Neurospora crassa OR74A: one gene and its partners. The protein of the gene in region 1 interacts with the protein of each later gene in a pairwise test. Links are inferred from orthologs where the notes say so. Each region holds a gene or a part of one and is shown on either strand. Other genes may lie near its edges.

Evidence for each region. The genes of interacting proteins can lie anywhere in the genome.
Region 2: the proteins of NCU03191 (region 1) and NCU03711 interact in a protein complementation assay, tested with the Saccharomyces cerevisiae proteins (3 studies listed by BioGRID, with this or other methods). The link is inferred for Neurospora crassa OR74A from reciprocal best matches to the Saccharomyces cerevisiae genes MRS6 and YPT7.
Region 3: the proteins of NCU03191 (region 1) and NCU02621 interact in binary tests that used the Saccharomyces cerevisiae proteins (3 or more experiments, as listed by UniProt). The link is inferred for Neurospora crassa OR74A from reciprocal best matches to the Saccharomyces cerevisiae genes MRS6 and SFP1.

What each region holds. Positions count from the first base shown.
Region 1 is NC_026501.1:4,857,489-4,862,230, forward strand, and holds NCU03191 (rab protein geranylgeranyltransferase component A), read right to left. Parts: upstream 3,305-4,742; coding exon 3,225-3,304; intron 3,133-3,224; coding exon 2,069-3,132; intron 1,865-2,068; coding exon 1,536-1,864; 3' UTR 1,518-1,535; intron 1,369-1,517; 3' UTR 1,099-1,368; downstream 1-1,098. Other genes in the region: NCU03190 (Rec8), read left to right, coding at 1-993; NCU03192 (hypothetical protein), read right to left, coding at 4,511-4,532, 4,619-4,742. UniProt on the Saccharomyces cerevisiae protein: Substrate-binding subunit (component A) of the Rab geranylgeranyltransferase (GGTase) complex. Binds unprenylated Rab proteins and presents the substrate peptide to the catalytic component B.
Region 2 is NC_026505.1:2,172,118-2,176,594, reverse strand, and holds NCU03711 (GTP-binding protein ypt7), read left to right. Parts: upstream 1-1,842; 5' UTR 1,843-2,283; coding exon 2,284-2,313; intron 2,314-2,378; coding exon 2,379-2,432; intron 2,433-2,517; coding exon 2,518-2,613; intron 2,614-2,684; coding exon 2,685-2,909; intron 2,910-2,976; coding exon 2,977-3,189; 3' UTR 3,190-3,610; downstream 3,611-4,477. Other genes in the region: NCU03712 (hypothetical protein), read right to left, coding at 1-1,244. UniProt on the Saccharomyces cerevisiae protein: Ypt/Rab-type GTPases are key regulators of membrane trafficking and intracellular vesicular transport.
Region 3 is NC_026501.1:2,943,567-2,948,499, reverse strand, and holds the start of NCU02621 (C2H2 transcription factor), read left to right. Parts: upstream 1-1,766; 5' UTR 1,767-1,922; coding exon 1,923-2,602; intron 2,603-2,756; coding exon 2,757-3,884; intron 3,885-4,032; coding exon 4,033-4,213; intron 4,214-4,280; coding exon 4,281-4,421; 3' UTR 4,422-4,933. UniProt on the Saccharomyces cerevisiae protein: Transcription factor that regulates ribosomal protein (RP) and ribosome biogenesis (Ribi) gene expression in response to nutrients and stress. Promotes RP gene expression under optimal growth conditions.

The DNA.
Region 1 (4,742 bases):
GACATCGATGAGGAGGTTGAAGCCGAGGGAAGACGCAGCCGTCGACGCCCCGCCCTCGAAGCTCTCGAGTTAGAGGAAGAAGATGCCGAGAGACGTGTACGTCGTCGCCTTAGTGATGAGAACGGAGAAGAGCATCAAGCGCAAGCGCAGCCAAACACCGAGCCGCAGACTGAGGCAGGCCGTGGCGGCTTGCCTACTGGAGGAGTCGAAGAAGACGCCGAGATTGGAAGAAGAGATGGCTCAGCACTGCCCGACATTCCCTCCGACGCTCCCTGGAACCGACCCTCTTCCCTGGTCCCAGGCTCATCGGTGAAAGGCGACAATCACCACCCCGGATCCAGCCGCCAAGTGAGCGCCAGTCCCCTCCACAGCCGCGGCAGCCGCTTGGCCCACCTTCCCCCCATTGATCGCTTCAGCGACGCAGGATCCTACGCGCCCTTCTTGCACTCTGGCGGCGCCCCTGGTTTCTCATCCGACCCCATAATGCCACCTGGAGAGGATGAACCGCAGCTTCCGCATTTGCCTGGCGGTCCTCAGGGTGGCCGTGACCTCTTGCGCTGTACTCCTTCCGGCGAAGCTGAAATGACTGCTACCCAGGCTGCGGCCGAAACCTCCCAAGTAATGCGCGACGCTCTAGATCGCGACGGCCACAACTTCCTGGCTTACGTCAATATGGTAGCCAAAGCCAGAGGGGAGACGCGGTCCCTCGGCGGCGGCGGTGCTCCACCCTCTTCTTCCCATGCCCACGGAGACGGAAACGACAGACTTCTCAGACAGTGGGTTGCCTTTGACGAGCTGTTGGATGAACCTAGAGACAGAACCCGACAGGTGGCGACTCAGGCTTTCTACAACGTCTTGGTCCTCGCGACCAAAGACGCAATCAAGGTGGAGCAGGACATGGAGGGCTTCCAGCCGTTTGGCGAAATTCGCGTGGGCGTTGAGGTGTCGGAGGCTGAGATGCTGGCTCTGATGGAGGAGGATGGTGACGAGTGAAGTGGCTGATGCGGAGAGTTTTGCAAAGAATGCACACTTATCGGTGCAATCGGTGCGAGTCTTGCGGTTCTTTTCTTTATTATTATTTCTCGGTTCGGGTTGTCGGGTGGGTAAATGGGAAACGGGATGCTGTGCTCCCCTACACTGTGGGATCATGATTGAGTAAAGGGCCAGATGAGATACCATTTTGATTGGTTTGCTAAGCAATCATGCCTCTGACAAAAGCCATCTGGCGCATGCGGAAGATAGGATCACAGTTTCTGCGGAGGACATAGGGAGCTGATCTTCGGAGAAGTATAGGAAGGGGACAACGGACTTCAGGCAAACGGCAACTTTGCAACACGCTGGGGCTCACTTTGACAGAAGATTTGGCGACTGAGGAATTCACAACAAATCAGCTACCAGATAGCAGTGAGATGGATTGGCAATCGAATAATAGAAGTAAATTGAGATTAATCTTTTTCAAGTATGTTACGGAGTGTGCGGAGGGCGGTGCATAAGACAGTAAAGAGACCAGCCCTTACCATGGTCGTCACCAAGAATCATTCATAATCATCATCATCCACGGGTTCACGATCAGTGAAGACCATGTACTCTGCATCATCAACTGCGCCGCCAACGACCTTCTTCCACGCCTCACGGACATGATTCAGCGATGCATCGTCCATCAAGAGGGAAAGAGATGGGCCTGGCAGATCAAGAATCAACCCATCAAGTCGACTTTGCTTGACACCAGCAGCCTGTTCATAGTATAACTGATACAAGCACTGGGGGACTCGATCAGGGTCCACAGCGGAAAGCAAGGATTCAAGAGAGCGACTCAAGATCTCCTTGGAGTTAGGAGTCACCATTGTGGACAAGTATAAGACACCTGTTGGTTTCCAGTCAGCCATTTGCGCGTAACAAGTTATGAATGATGCGGAAGGGTTGAACGGATGAGAGTACGATCAGAATGTCAGAGGTATTTATCGTCAACGCCGAAGCTTGGACAATGTAGATAAGTATTCAAGATGTGGATCATCATAGTACTCGAAATGGGTAAATTGAAGGGAGCAAGGAAATAGATAAAACTTACTCTGACCATTGGGACATTCGCCAGTGCCGCTCGAGTGAGCGAAAACATAGACTGGGTCAGTGTTTGCTTCGCCAGGTGTTGTTAGTGAACCCGGAGGCAGAGCGACGACCGCAACGCAGGGAGTCGGCGCCCCGTCGACGGTAGACTCAAACAAGGTCTTGAGCGGAGAATCAACAACGGCCACTAGCCTGCTGATGCTCGGCTCGTCACCAACGCTTTCGTCTCCACGCACGAGCAACTTGGTTTTCACCTTGTCGCCGCTGGTCAACTCGAGCTCGATCTCGTCAGTAGCAGTCTCCATTGACTTGATACCAGCGCCAAGCATGTAGACAGCACCACCGACCGCACCGGCTCTACAGGCGACCTGGGCAATCTCGGAGATACCGCCCCATTTGGGATAGAGAGCAGCAAAGCCGGGGCCAAAGTGACCCATAGAGGTAAGATGGCGATGGACGATGAACAATCCATCCTCGGTAGTGATGCGGCCATCCAGCGAAAGCGTGAGGGTGATGATGTAGGTCTTGAGCTCGGTATCCATCTTGAAGTGCTCCTGTAAGAAGTCCACCAAGGGTTTATCGGCAAAAGGCTTCCAGGCATCTCTCTGCTCCGGACTGTCGTAGTCCAGCACAAACCGTAGAAACTTCATCAGTCCGCGCTTCGCCTTGGCCGATATAGCAGTAGTTGAAAAGACATCTTCGCGGGTGGAAGGAATGCGGACAAGGCTGGGTTGCTGTTCAGGGCCGACAGGTGCTTTGAAAATGTAGAACGATCCGACGGCGAGGAATTCCACCTGCCGGTACGCCCGGGAAGAAACCAATTGAGATAGCAGCTCCGAGCGGGCGTGGATCAACTGCGGTGCCAGTGCCAGCGAGTACGCTCTGGGGAAGGAGAGACCCACGACATCCGGCTTGGTGATAGACGCGGACCTGAAGAGGCCTTTGTCCTCGGTGGCCAGACGGTCAACCCAGGACTCAGCTTCTTGCAGGCTGAAAGCCGCTTCCGCCCCGCCATAGTAGTCGTTGGGGTCTATGTGCAAAATGTTCTTGCCCGATCGCGAGAGGGATCTTCAAGGCGGAGAACAGCTATGTCAGTCGGTCAGTTAGACAGGAGAACGATGAAAGTCGGATGAAGAAGAGCGAAAGAAAAGTTTGCTTACAGTGCAAGCAGAGACTGCTGCAGTCCGGTGCCGCAGATGACGACATCCCAAAGGGTATCGCCGATAGATCCCATCGCCATGACTAGGGACTCTGTGGTTCGCGGAACTGCCAGTCTGTTGGGAAGTAATAACTTGGGAAAAAGAACGAGGGTTGCAGCGGCAATTTTGAAATGAAGTTAAAGTTTGGTGCTTGCGGAGCCGGCAGTTCCTCGGACCGGTGTGGCTTTTTGAATCGGCCCCGCCCAAGCTTTCGTTTTTGTGGGTTTCTGTTGTTCGTCCCCCGCCTGACAAACGGGCAGACGCACGGGCCACTGGCGAAGCTTCGAAGTGGTCAAAACTCGACGTCCATCCACCCCAAATTTTCCTTTTTCTCTCATCAACCACTCAACGAAGAGACGCGGTTGCTGCTGCTGCTCTGCAGCCCAACAGTATCGCGGGAGTCTTGGGGGGCCTTTCATTAGGTTTCTCCGAAGTTGAGTGGCAGATTGATGCCACAAACAGCCCTTCTGTATCTCCTGCCTTAGAATCACCACATGTGAGGGCGGGTCGAACGATCGGCACATTTTTGCAACCATGCTATAAAAATTGCAAATGTCTTGACTGCTTTGCCAGCTCAACTCCGCGATGCCCAGAAGTTGTAGATGACTTTCCGACTCAGAAGCTCACACCTTTGCGGTTTTTATGCGCAGCGATGTTGTTAGCCGTCAAGTTATCTTGCATCATATCATGATGGCTTTGTGCGATCATCATCATTGATCACTATGTTGTACAGAGTCGTAACGGCTGAATTCGAAGCTGAACAGAGCGCTTTTGTTGTAGGATGTTCCAAGTGGGTATCCATTTACATCGCATTGCTCCTCGAGTACAAACAGGACAAGACAGGACAAGATGGTTTTGAATGGCACAGTCGCCCATCTCTCTCCGTAGAATTGGTGGTGTTTTATCCTCCTCCGGCCGCAACCAGGGTGCATCCAACATATGGGTATCTTCTTCGTACTCTCTGTCTCTCTGTCCATTGGCATGACCAAGCCGAGGTTCTCCGTCGAGATAATATTGACTCCTGATAGATCATGACTTCATGCCCATAGTCGGTGTTTGAAACCCCAGAGATCCTATGACTGCATCTAGACAAGGCCCATCATCCATCTATCTTGTCGCCGATCAACGTCCTCCACATCCGCCCCGAGAGGATCGCCCATTTTCCGCCTGTAGGCCGGCAGCCAGCCATCAAACTCCCCATCCGTGAAAGAAAACTCAAACTCGTAGTCGCAGCTCCTTCATTACACCTACTTCGTGTTACGAAGGGGTCTAAATATGATTACTGTTAGTGATCATGCATGTGGGAGGAATGACCGCCTCATGTGTCAAAGCGTGAGATAAGAGATAGAACATACCCGCAACCTAGAGGAGTTGTCACGCCAAAGAAGCAGTCACCTGCATTCTTGGGTACAACTTGCTCAGGCTTGATGGGTGTGATGACTACACCGGCGCTGACGAGGGAGGCGCAAAGCGAGAGAA
Region 2 (4,477 bases), on another chromosome or scaffold:
TCCAACCCGTGCAGCGGCGCCAAGCTCCTCATAAGCTGTTCAAAATGCTTGGTCGCCTGAGGCGTGATGCCACCGCTAACAGCCCGGTGCATGCGCAAAAAGGCGACAATGTTCATTTGGTAGCGGCGGACGTCGATATCCACGCATACATTGAGCGAGAGTTGGGCGAGGTGGGCGATTTCGGAATCGGAGAGAAGTGGCGGTTCGAGACCTTCGGTTGGACCGACGGCTGTGGGATCGTTGCTGTGGAAGGTGAGTTGGGGGGAGAGGGATACTCCAGCTCCTCCCAAGCGACCTGGACCGAGACCAGGTCCGCTAAGGGCAGAGTGATAGGATTCGTTGATTAAACCACTGTTTGCCATGCTTCCCACGCCCCTCTTGACAACGCTGCTTCCCGAGTCGGTCGAAACTTGGTCATCATCGGTCTTGGCGTAAGGGCTGTCGTCACCAGCTTCGTCGTCGTTGTCATTGTTGTTGTTCGCAACACCCAACTTTCCCAGATGCCCGCCGAAGCCACCTGCACCGGCCCATCCTTCTTCCGCTTGTTCCTCGAGGTAGGCGAAACCATCTTCCGGGTCGTGCCAGTGCGCAAGGTAGAGGAAGTCGTTCAGGTGGTGAGTGACTCGCGCCTGTCCGCCGCTTTCTGCGCCGACTACGGCCACGAAGAGGAACTGCTTCGGAGCAGTCTGGACGCTCGTTCGAGTGAAGAGGCGGCGCGCGCGCAGGAGTTCGAGGGCTTGGATTTGCACGGCGCGCGGGGCATGGTCGAGGTTTTGGGCGAGGACGACGTTGGCTATTTGCGTTGCCGGTGGTTGTTGTTGTTGTTGCTGCTGTGATGGTGGTGGCGGGTGGGCGGAAGAAGATGAGCCGGGAACATTTTGTTTCGAGGAAAAGTATGAACCCGAGCCGGAAGGTACAGAGCGGTGGGAGTGGTGGTGTTGGGGGTTGTTGCTGTTGTTGGGCAGTGGTGAGCTTGGTGGAGTGACGGGGACTAAGAGTGCTGCTGCGAAATCATCGAGTGTCATCTGCGAGTGACATGGGACGATGACGGGCGTGAGGCCAAAGGTTTTGACGGCGGTCAGACATAGCTCTTTCGATAGGTCCTCGACAAAGTCGGGTTCGGTGCTGATCAGGCAGTGTTCCCGTGCGATGAGGGAGAGAAGGACGGCGAGCTCGAGATCGCTCAGGCTGTGTATTTTGTCCTGGAGTTCGGCTTGTTGTCGTTCCTTGATATCATCCTCCATTTCCAGTGCCGTTATTATGCCGAAGCATGAGGATCATATCCATGGACAGGAGTAGACGAGTCTCTTAGGTAGTGTAAGAGCAAGAAGAACTGGATGCCGATATTGCGGTCCTTCACGCCGGCGCTTTTTTCTTGTCACCGGGATTGGGCCATGCTTGGTGGATGGAAATCTCGAGATGGTCCGTCACTTTCCACAGTCGCCCGATCGGCAGGATGTTGTTAGGTTTTTATGTCTGTAAATTGTAGAGATAGTTATTCCTGTGAAGCGTACGAGTACATCAAGGGTGTGACAAAACTGAATTGAATGGAAGAAATGTGAGTCGGTCGCAATCTGTCGATCCTTTCTGCCCCTGGGACTGTTCCGCTGAGGAATGGGAGGATGACATGGCTGATGAAGAATGAATGAATGATCAATCGACACTTAATCCTTGGCGTTGGGCATGGTGCAGTGGGCCACAGGTTCCTCTTTGCGGGCCACCTGTCGTACATGTCGGGTGTTTCAGCTCGGACCAGGCCGACTTTGGGCGCTGGCGGGTGACTTCATTGGCTCCAGGGATGCACTGGCGAGACTGGACCAGTGGTGCGTGCCTGCCTGACGGCGCGCCAAAGGCGTCGAGGGCGTGTTAGCGCTGCGACCACCTCCGTCACTAGGTGGTTGTGTCGCAGAGCCGTCGCTCCTCCAACAGCGCAGCATTCAGTGACCAGCCCCAGTTCAACAAGTTCCCGCCGCCCCAACGTCCAGGTCGGTCACGTCGGTCGGTTAGGTCACCACTTATCGAAAACCAACCTACCTTACCTACCGCTTGGCCTTGTTTAGACTGAGTGCCGAATCTAGCAGCCTGCTACGACCTACACTAAACCCAACATTTGTTGCGCCCGCCGTCCTCCTCACACTCTTACGACTCCCATCTTTCTCGACTACCATCACTGGTGGACTGTTGTTCTTGACGATTGCCCGGAAGCACGCCAGCACGAGCAACTCCACCTCGTCCCGTTTCTACGTCTTATCAAACAACTTATCTAATTCCATACCGCCCGCCATGTCTTCGAGGAAGAAGGTTCTTCTCAAGGTGCGAGTCGGCCGCCAAATCGGACCATCTAGACAGCAACAGCTAACAATGACTCCCAATGGCAGGTTATCATCTTGGGCGACAGCGGTGTCGGAAAGACCAGTTTGATGAACCAATATGTATGCCAGCGTCGAGCCCGTTGTCACCATGCATTATGATACAAAGAGGACGTCATCTGACCCCCGCTCTTTTGGCGCAAAACAGGTCAACAAGAAGTTCAGTGCTAGCTACAAGGCCACTATCGGAGCCGATTTCTTGACCCGGGAGGTTCTGGTGGACGACCGCCAAGTAACCATGCAGGTGCGTGCGCCAAATACCCTACTTTGAGCTGGTTGGACGACGTGCTAATACGTAAGGTTCTCGACGGGCAGCTGTGGGACACAGCCGGACAAGAGAGGTTCCAGTCGCTGGGCGTTGCCTTCTACCGCGGTGCCGACTGCTGTGTTCTAGTATACGATGTCAACAACTCCAAGAGCTTCGATGCGCTCGACAGCTGGAGAGACGAGTTCCTTATCCAAGCATCTCCGCGAGACCCGGATAACTTCCCGTTCGTCGTGCTGGGTAACAAGATCGATATGGAAGAGAGCAAGAGGGTGGTATGTTTTCTGTTCGATGGGCCTTGTCGTATGTTGGAGATCATCATTTACTGACCTTGTGGCGCAGATTTCGACCAAGAGGGCCATGACCTTTTGTCAATCCAAGGGCAACATTCCGTATTTCGAGACCAGTGCAAAGGAGGCTATCAACGTCGAGCAGGCCTTTGAGGTTATCGCCAGAAACGCGCTCATGCAGGAAGAGTCGGAGGAGTTCAGCGGAGATTTCCAGGATCCCATCAACATTCACATCGAGAACGACCGGGATGGATGCGCGTGCTAAGGGCGAAGGAGCTCCATCAAGCTTCTAGTCCTCCTTTTGGGTTTATGAGGGAGTTTGGTTTTTCATGTCTTCATTTGTATGATATCACGCTGGGTATGACAGGAATGCGGTTTTGATCTTGGCTTGCAGAGACGGTGCTTAATGACCAGTGAGTTTGGAACGGGGGGAGTCAATGGGGTGCGCAAGAGTGAACGTGAACGGTGACGAGCAATGATAGATATGCACTGGTGTAGATGGGAGTATGGAATAATCATGGTCTTGGTGCCAGAGGTTTTCATCTCGACTGTCTTTCCTCTCCGAGTTTCCATAGCTGAGCATCTGGTAATTAGTCTAGGACCTGTGCAGCGGTCTTTCTGACTGTATCCAATGTGCTCTTCACCATGTCATCACATTTTGTAACAAGTGGTCGCAAGTCAACGACAACCCAGAGCTGTTGTATTATGGCACGACAATCTGGAACAACACCGAAAAGATTACTGCCTGCCTACTACCAGCGATAGCAGGTACCCGCCAGCTCCTTTCAGATAAGCGACCTATGTGGGAAATGCGTCTCCGCAGCTAATGTTTGGATGAGAGGTACCTACGTACATGCCTACATAATCACCTGCAGATGCATAACCTTTTCTTCACATTTTCAACTGCAACTAACGTTTGCCTTTTCAGCTCCTTCACCTCTTCACATCTCCAGGATGGAGAGTTTCATCATTGAGCCGATGACAAAACCACCGGCGACAGTAGCGCATTGGCGTGATGTCTCAGTGGTTGAAGATGAGTGGTAAAACAAAGCAACGGACACCGTACCTACTTCAACGGCCTATGGACTTTTTTTGTTGACTGAGAATAGCAAACAGATTGGACCCATCAAGTATTCGCGTCAGGGGCTGGATGGTATCACAGGGACTCCCATGGCGCCTCCGCAACTCTACTCGACTTTGAGATTTTGCGATTCCACTTCCCCGGAGTGGCAAACAACGACAAACCCACCTCCCGGGCCCCCTACCGCTCGTGGATCAGCATTTTCATAAGCGGTGTCGGGTTGGAGCGTCGTGGCCACCAGGGGGAGAAGGGCTCCAAAGGGGAACGAAATGTAAACATGCCCCTCTTGCTCCTTTTCATCCTGTTTCTCAGTATCTCGGGATGACGCGCGTCTCGTCGTTTCTGGCGCTCTGATCTCTGAAGCAGCTGATCTAGCCTCTCTGTTAGCGATTCTCAATAAGACTGGTAGGCTGTCTTTAACAGCCCCAGTAACATTTGGTCTTGGCTGTAATTCCTCAGCTCCCTATTTCCC
Region 3 (4,933 bases), about 1.9 Mb from region 1:
CTATAGCGTAATGGCCGGCACCCCCAGACATCGAGAAAAGCGGGCTTCGAGGACAATTGGATCCTCGATTCGTTTACGTATACTTGCTTGTACCGAAGAGACTGTCGAGACTATGTACCGGAAGAAGTATGTAACCTTACGTCTTGATGTTGTAAGCCCCAGACATGGTGGCAACCAGAGCAGGTACCGCATCTCGTTTGCTTGCCTTGCGCGCACCCGCCTTGCCGTCATGAGGTGGACAACCTAAGGAGACAGGCAAATATGAGGCACATCATATGCCGTGTTAGGTTCGGGGAGAAGGAGAGGTGGTTTCGGGGCAGGAGCGATCAGATACCTTCCCCTTCCTGCTACCCGCTTGTTGTTTGTGGTTGGAAGGTGTCGTGAAGGACTCAGGTTATCGGACTGGAACGCACTTATTTGATGGCTGCTTCTTCCCCATACCTTGCAGGATATCTGTGCGTATCTTAACCTCGATATACGACGACCTTTACAACCGGTTACTGGAAACCAATTGACTTTATATCAAAAACACCAGCACGGCATCTGCTACATGGGGCTTACATGAAAGCGACGGTACGTGCTCTTATAACAACAAGCTGTTTAGCTGTGCGACCCCTCTCCCCTCCTCGCTGCCTGCTTTCGACCACATCTACTACTACGGCACTCGTCAGACGAAAACCACTACGGTACTTACCGATGTACAACTATTCTTGTCGACTATAGTTTTATTCTTTTTCTTTCTTTTTTGTGTCGGGAGTTGGGCTCTTGGATAATACGTTGTAGCAAAGATTTCTGTGTCGTGCTACTTCTGTAGGTTGTCCTATCGTGTTAAACCGAGGGGAAGCTGCCCGAGGTGAAGAGTGCGGCGGCCGACTTGTGATGCGCATCAGAGTCATTGTTCCGTCGCCCCAGTACCTCCCATTTCTTGAAATCGATACCCAATACGGACTCAACGATATACGCTCTACTCTCACGCGAAACCCAATCGTCCTCTGCCTACCGGTATACTAACTATTCAACTAAATAGTAAGAAGAAAAACAAGAAAAAAACTGGGGGCTTTGTTTCCATCCCTGAGAGCGACGGTCATATCATTCGAACTATTTCGGACCGCGAATCCACCACCACATTCCGCTCAGCGTCGATTCCCCAACTCGGTGGTGTAGGAGTGCAGGAACGCCGCGACGCAAGTCGGCCTGATTTGTTCGCAAGTGGTCAACGCCATTGACCGAGACGTACGACACGGTCACAACGAACCAGCAACGAGGGAGTTGGAAACTTTGGCGCATCCTCGACGAGCCACTTAGTAGCCCGAGGTTGTGTAGTGTAGCATCACGCACATCCTCCGCCCCCCAGGCTACCTACCCACAGGGCACCGCACCCCTGGAACGTCAGTTGTGTTACCGTGTTGGCCTTCCAAGCGGAACGGCGACCGCTGCAACGGGCGGGGCAACCTCGCTTGTCAGATCCCACCACACCACTGCACCTTCGAGGTCCGTCCTGGTCAAGGGTCAGGTTCAACGTTGGAAAAAGAGCCCCAAGATCCCTTCACCGTCCATGGGTGAAGAATCACCATTCGCTCGACCACCTTCCGGCTTCTCTAATACCTTTTCCCACCACCACTTCAACCCGGTTCTCTCTTCTGGTTTTCGCTTGTTTCTCGGGACAACTCGCATGCGAGTGTCGACTTTTCCTTCATTGATTGGCAGCATCACTTTGCCATCCTTCTTTCACTAATAATCATCACACGGTACAAGGCACGGCTTCACGCACCCCTGCTATTACGCCGTAACCAGGTTGCGGCCTAGTCTAGCGCACCCAGTACTCTCACTGTACGACGCCATCCCTACCGCCCACTCACCCCCCTCGACATCCGAGGCCCAGCACTGTTATCCACATTCGGTCGCTGCTAGTGCCTCCAGCCATGAAGCGCTCCCTGAAGTGGTTTAGTTCCAAAACCACCTCCAGCCCCAGTAACAGTCCCGAGCCTGCGGGGCCCTCCGTTGGGGCCGGTGGAAATAATAGTTATCGCGCATCGCCTTCCTCTGTTTCCGCAGCGTTCAGGAACCCATCGCCTTCCGACTCAACAACCGATTCACCCTCTTCCCTTCTTCACCCATCCTCGCCGTCGCCGTCCCCGACACCCCAACCGCTGACCCCCCGTGACTCCGTCTTTCCTCGATCCGATCTTTCGCCACTCACTGCCTCGAAACCCATTGACATTGCGGTCTCCCATCATCGGTCCACTGCATCCATCTCACCGGCTGACCGCAATCCCATCACTTTCCCAACCCACGATCTCGACGATCTCGATATCAACTGGGACCAAGGCCCTTGCCTCGCCGACCTTGGTTTCGACCCTGACGTCGACATGACTGCCGGTCAACATTTCGACTCGGCCTTGAGCCGCAGTCGACAGGAATCCTTCCTAGGCACTGGCGCAAAACCCATCTCCATGGCAAACCCTAATCGCGACCACGTCAACCGCATCCGTCGCGAAAGTATGGCTGGCAGTCTCAGAGCAGGCAGCCTTATGGCGGGGAGTCTTATGGGTAACGGTATGAGCTGGGGCGGCATTTCTGTTGGAAGCTTTATTCGCGAAGAGTAAGTTGTTGCCGCTGTTCCCTGCACTTGGGGGTGCTTGTTTGTGTCCTTGGCGTTAGTCGGGAGCAGAGTTCTTGGGTATCCTGGAGCTGGATCGCCGCCGAGGACTGTCCGTCGGTTGTTAACACCGAAGCTGACCTGTTGATGTTGTTAGTATGATGATGACAGGCACTTCACCCTATTTAACGCACCAGTCTCCCTCGTTCCATTCTTCGTCGTATATTCCCAAACTCGAGGCCAACTTCATGCGCGATTTCACCTGCTGCGACAGGACGTGGCCGACTCTCCATGATCTCCTTCAACATTACGAGGAGAACCACCACGCCACCGCAGCACCCAACACCTCCAACCAGAATCTCAATACCTTTGGCACCAATCAAGGGAACGCACGCGGGACCGCCAGTCGTGCCACTCCAACTCCTGCAGCGAGTAGAGCTCAGCCAGGAGCCCAGGCGATGAATGGATATCAAGGTCAGCGTCATTTGAGTGTTGCTGGCGCAGGAATGGGCCTTGGCGGTATCGGACAGATGATGCGACAGCAACAAGTAGCTCCAGCTGTGTCAAAAATGTCCTCCATGTCACACATGAACGATGATATGGATACTGTCGGAGAGATGGAGCTTGACGAGACCGTGGGACCTATGGAGATGGACGATAATCAGCGGACAATCCAGCAGACTCGGCAATTGTTTGGGCAGCAGCAGCGTTCTCAACTACACCTGAACAGCTCTGGGCTTCCGCACCAGGCTTTGCGCACTTCTCAACCCCCAACTCCTGCTGCTGTCAGCTTTGGTTTCCAGAACAACCCGACCGTTTCGTCAGTCAACACGCCAACCCTGACAACACAAGGAGGCCTACCTCAGCGGGGACAGTTTGGTCAGGAAGATGACAATGGTGATGACATGTCCGGAATGCCTATGAAGATGAACATCGGCGGTGTGAATCTGAACGGCGGCCAGCTCGGAGGACTGGCGGGAAACTTGGCTTTCGGGGCTTTGGGAACGATTGATGATCCTGCAAAGAGGCTGTATAGCCCTGGTGGTACGACCCAGATGACGAGCCAGCAACGAGCGTTCGATGCCCAAATGCAGATGCAGCAGCAGTTGCAGCAGCACCTGGCGTCGATGAATCTCGATTTGAATCAGCTTGCTCCTGGTACAGACCCTGCTCTGCTTCTGCAGCAGATGACTGCGCTCATGATGCCGCCGACAGAAGAACACAAGCCTTTCCGCTGTCCCGTCATTGGATGCGAGAAGGCATACAAGAACCAGAATGGTCTGAAGTAAGTTTTTACCCCGACGTGTTTCTCCTTTGAAGTGCGATTTGTTTGCCCTTTGCAGAAATTTTCTTTGGTCGGCCACCAACGCCAATTAACCCCATACTTTTCCCAACTGCATTCCTTCCCCAAGTCCCACTAACAATCGAACCAGGTACCACAAGACCCATGGACATTCGACCCAGCAATTGCATGAGAACGGCGACGGCACCTTCTCGATCGTCAATCCAGAAACGAGCACGCCTTACCCTGGTACCCTGGGTATGGAGAAGGAGAAGCCCTTCAAATGCGACGTTTGCGGAAAGCGCTACAAGAACTTGAATGGTCTCAAATACGTAAGTCGATATTTACCTTCAGGTCATTGTCACATACACAGTGATGCTTACACAGTTTCAATGATAGCACAAGCAACATTCCCCCATGTGCGACCCTGAAATGAGAGCCCAGCACCAGAATTTGATCTCGACCATGATGTCCAACCCAGCTGCGCTCATCGCTTTCCAGCAAAACCTGCCCAACATCAACGAAGACGTCATGTTGTAGGACGAAGGCGCATTTGATAAGCAGTTGGACATGGCCAAGATCGACAAACGACCTTGCGTTGTCCCGGGTCGCAGTCCACGTGAAGCTTAATATACCCAGCGTCCTCGGCTTGACGTTGTGGGGACACACGGCATCCGATCCAAGCCTTGGAAAGGTCTGATGGCGGAGCCCTGTGTCCGATTCCCGATAAACTGCCGTTTACTGTTGCGGCCGCCATACAAGTCACGCATCGGTTAGCAAAAAACGCCTCTCATCTCCGGTTTTCATGTTTGACTTCACTGTTATGTTTTGGAGGGTCAGAAAAGTTCCATCTTGGGTTTACACTACACCTTTCAGTAGCAGCATTTTGCGTGGCGTTTTTCTTGTTCTTTTTCCTTTTCGTTTCTTGTTTGTTTCCAATATTTGTCACGGTACACGAGAGGAGAGGAGTGTACAGAAAAAAAGAGTCAAGTGGTTTTCTATAGGCTTTGTATGGCTTTAGTGCAGGGTAGTACGTATGGGGAAAAAAGGGA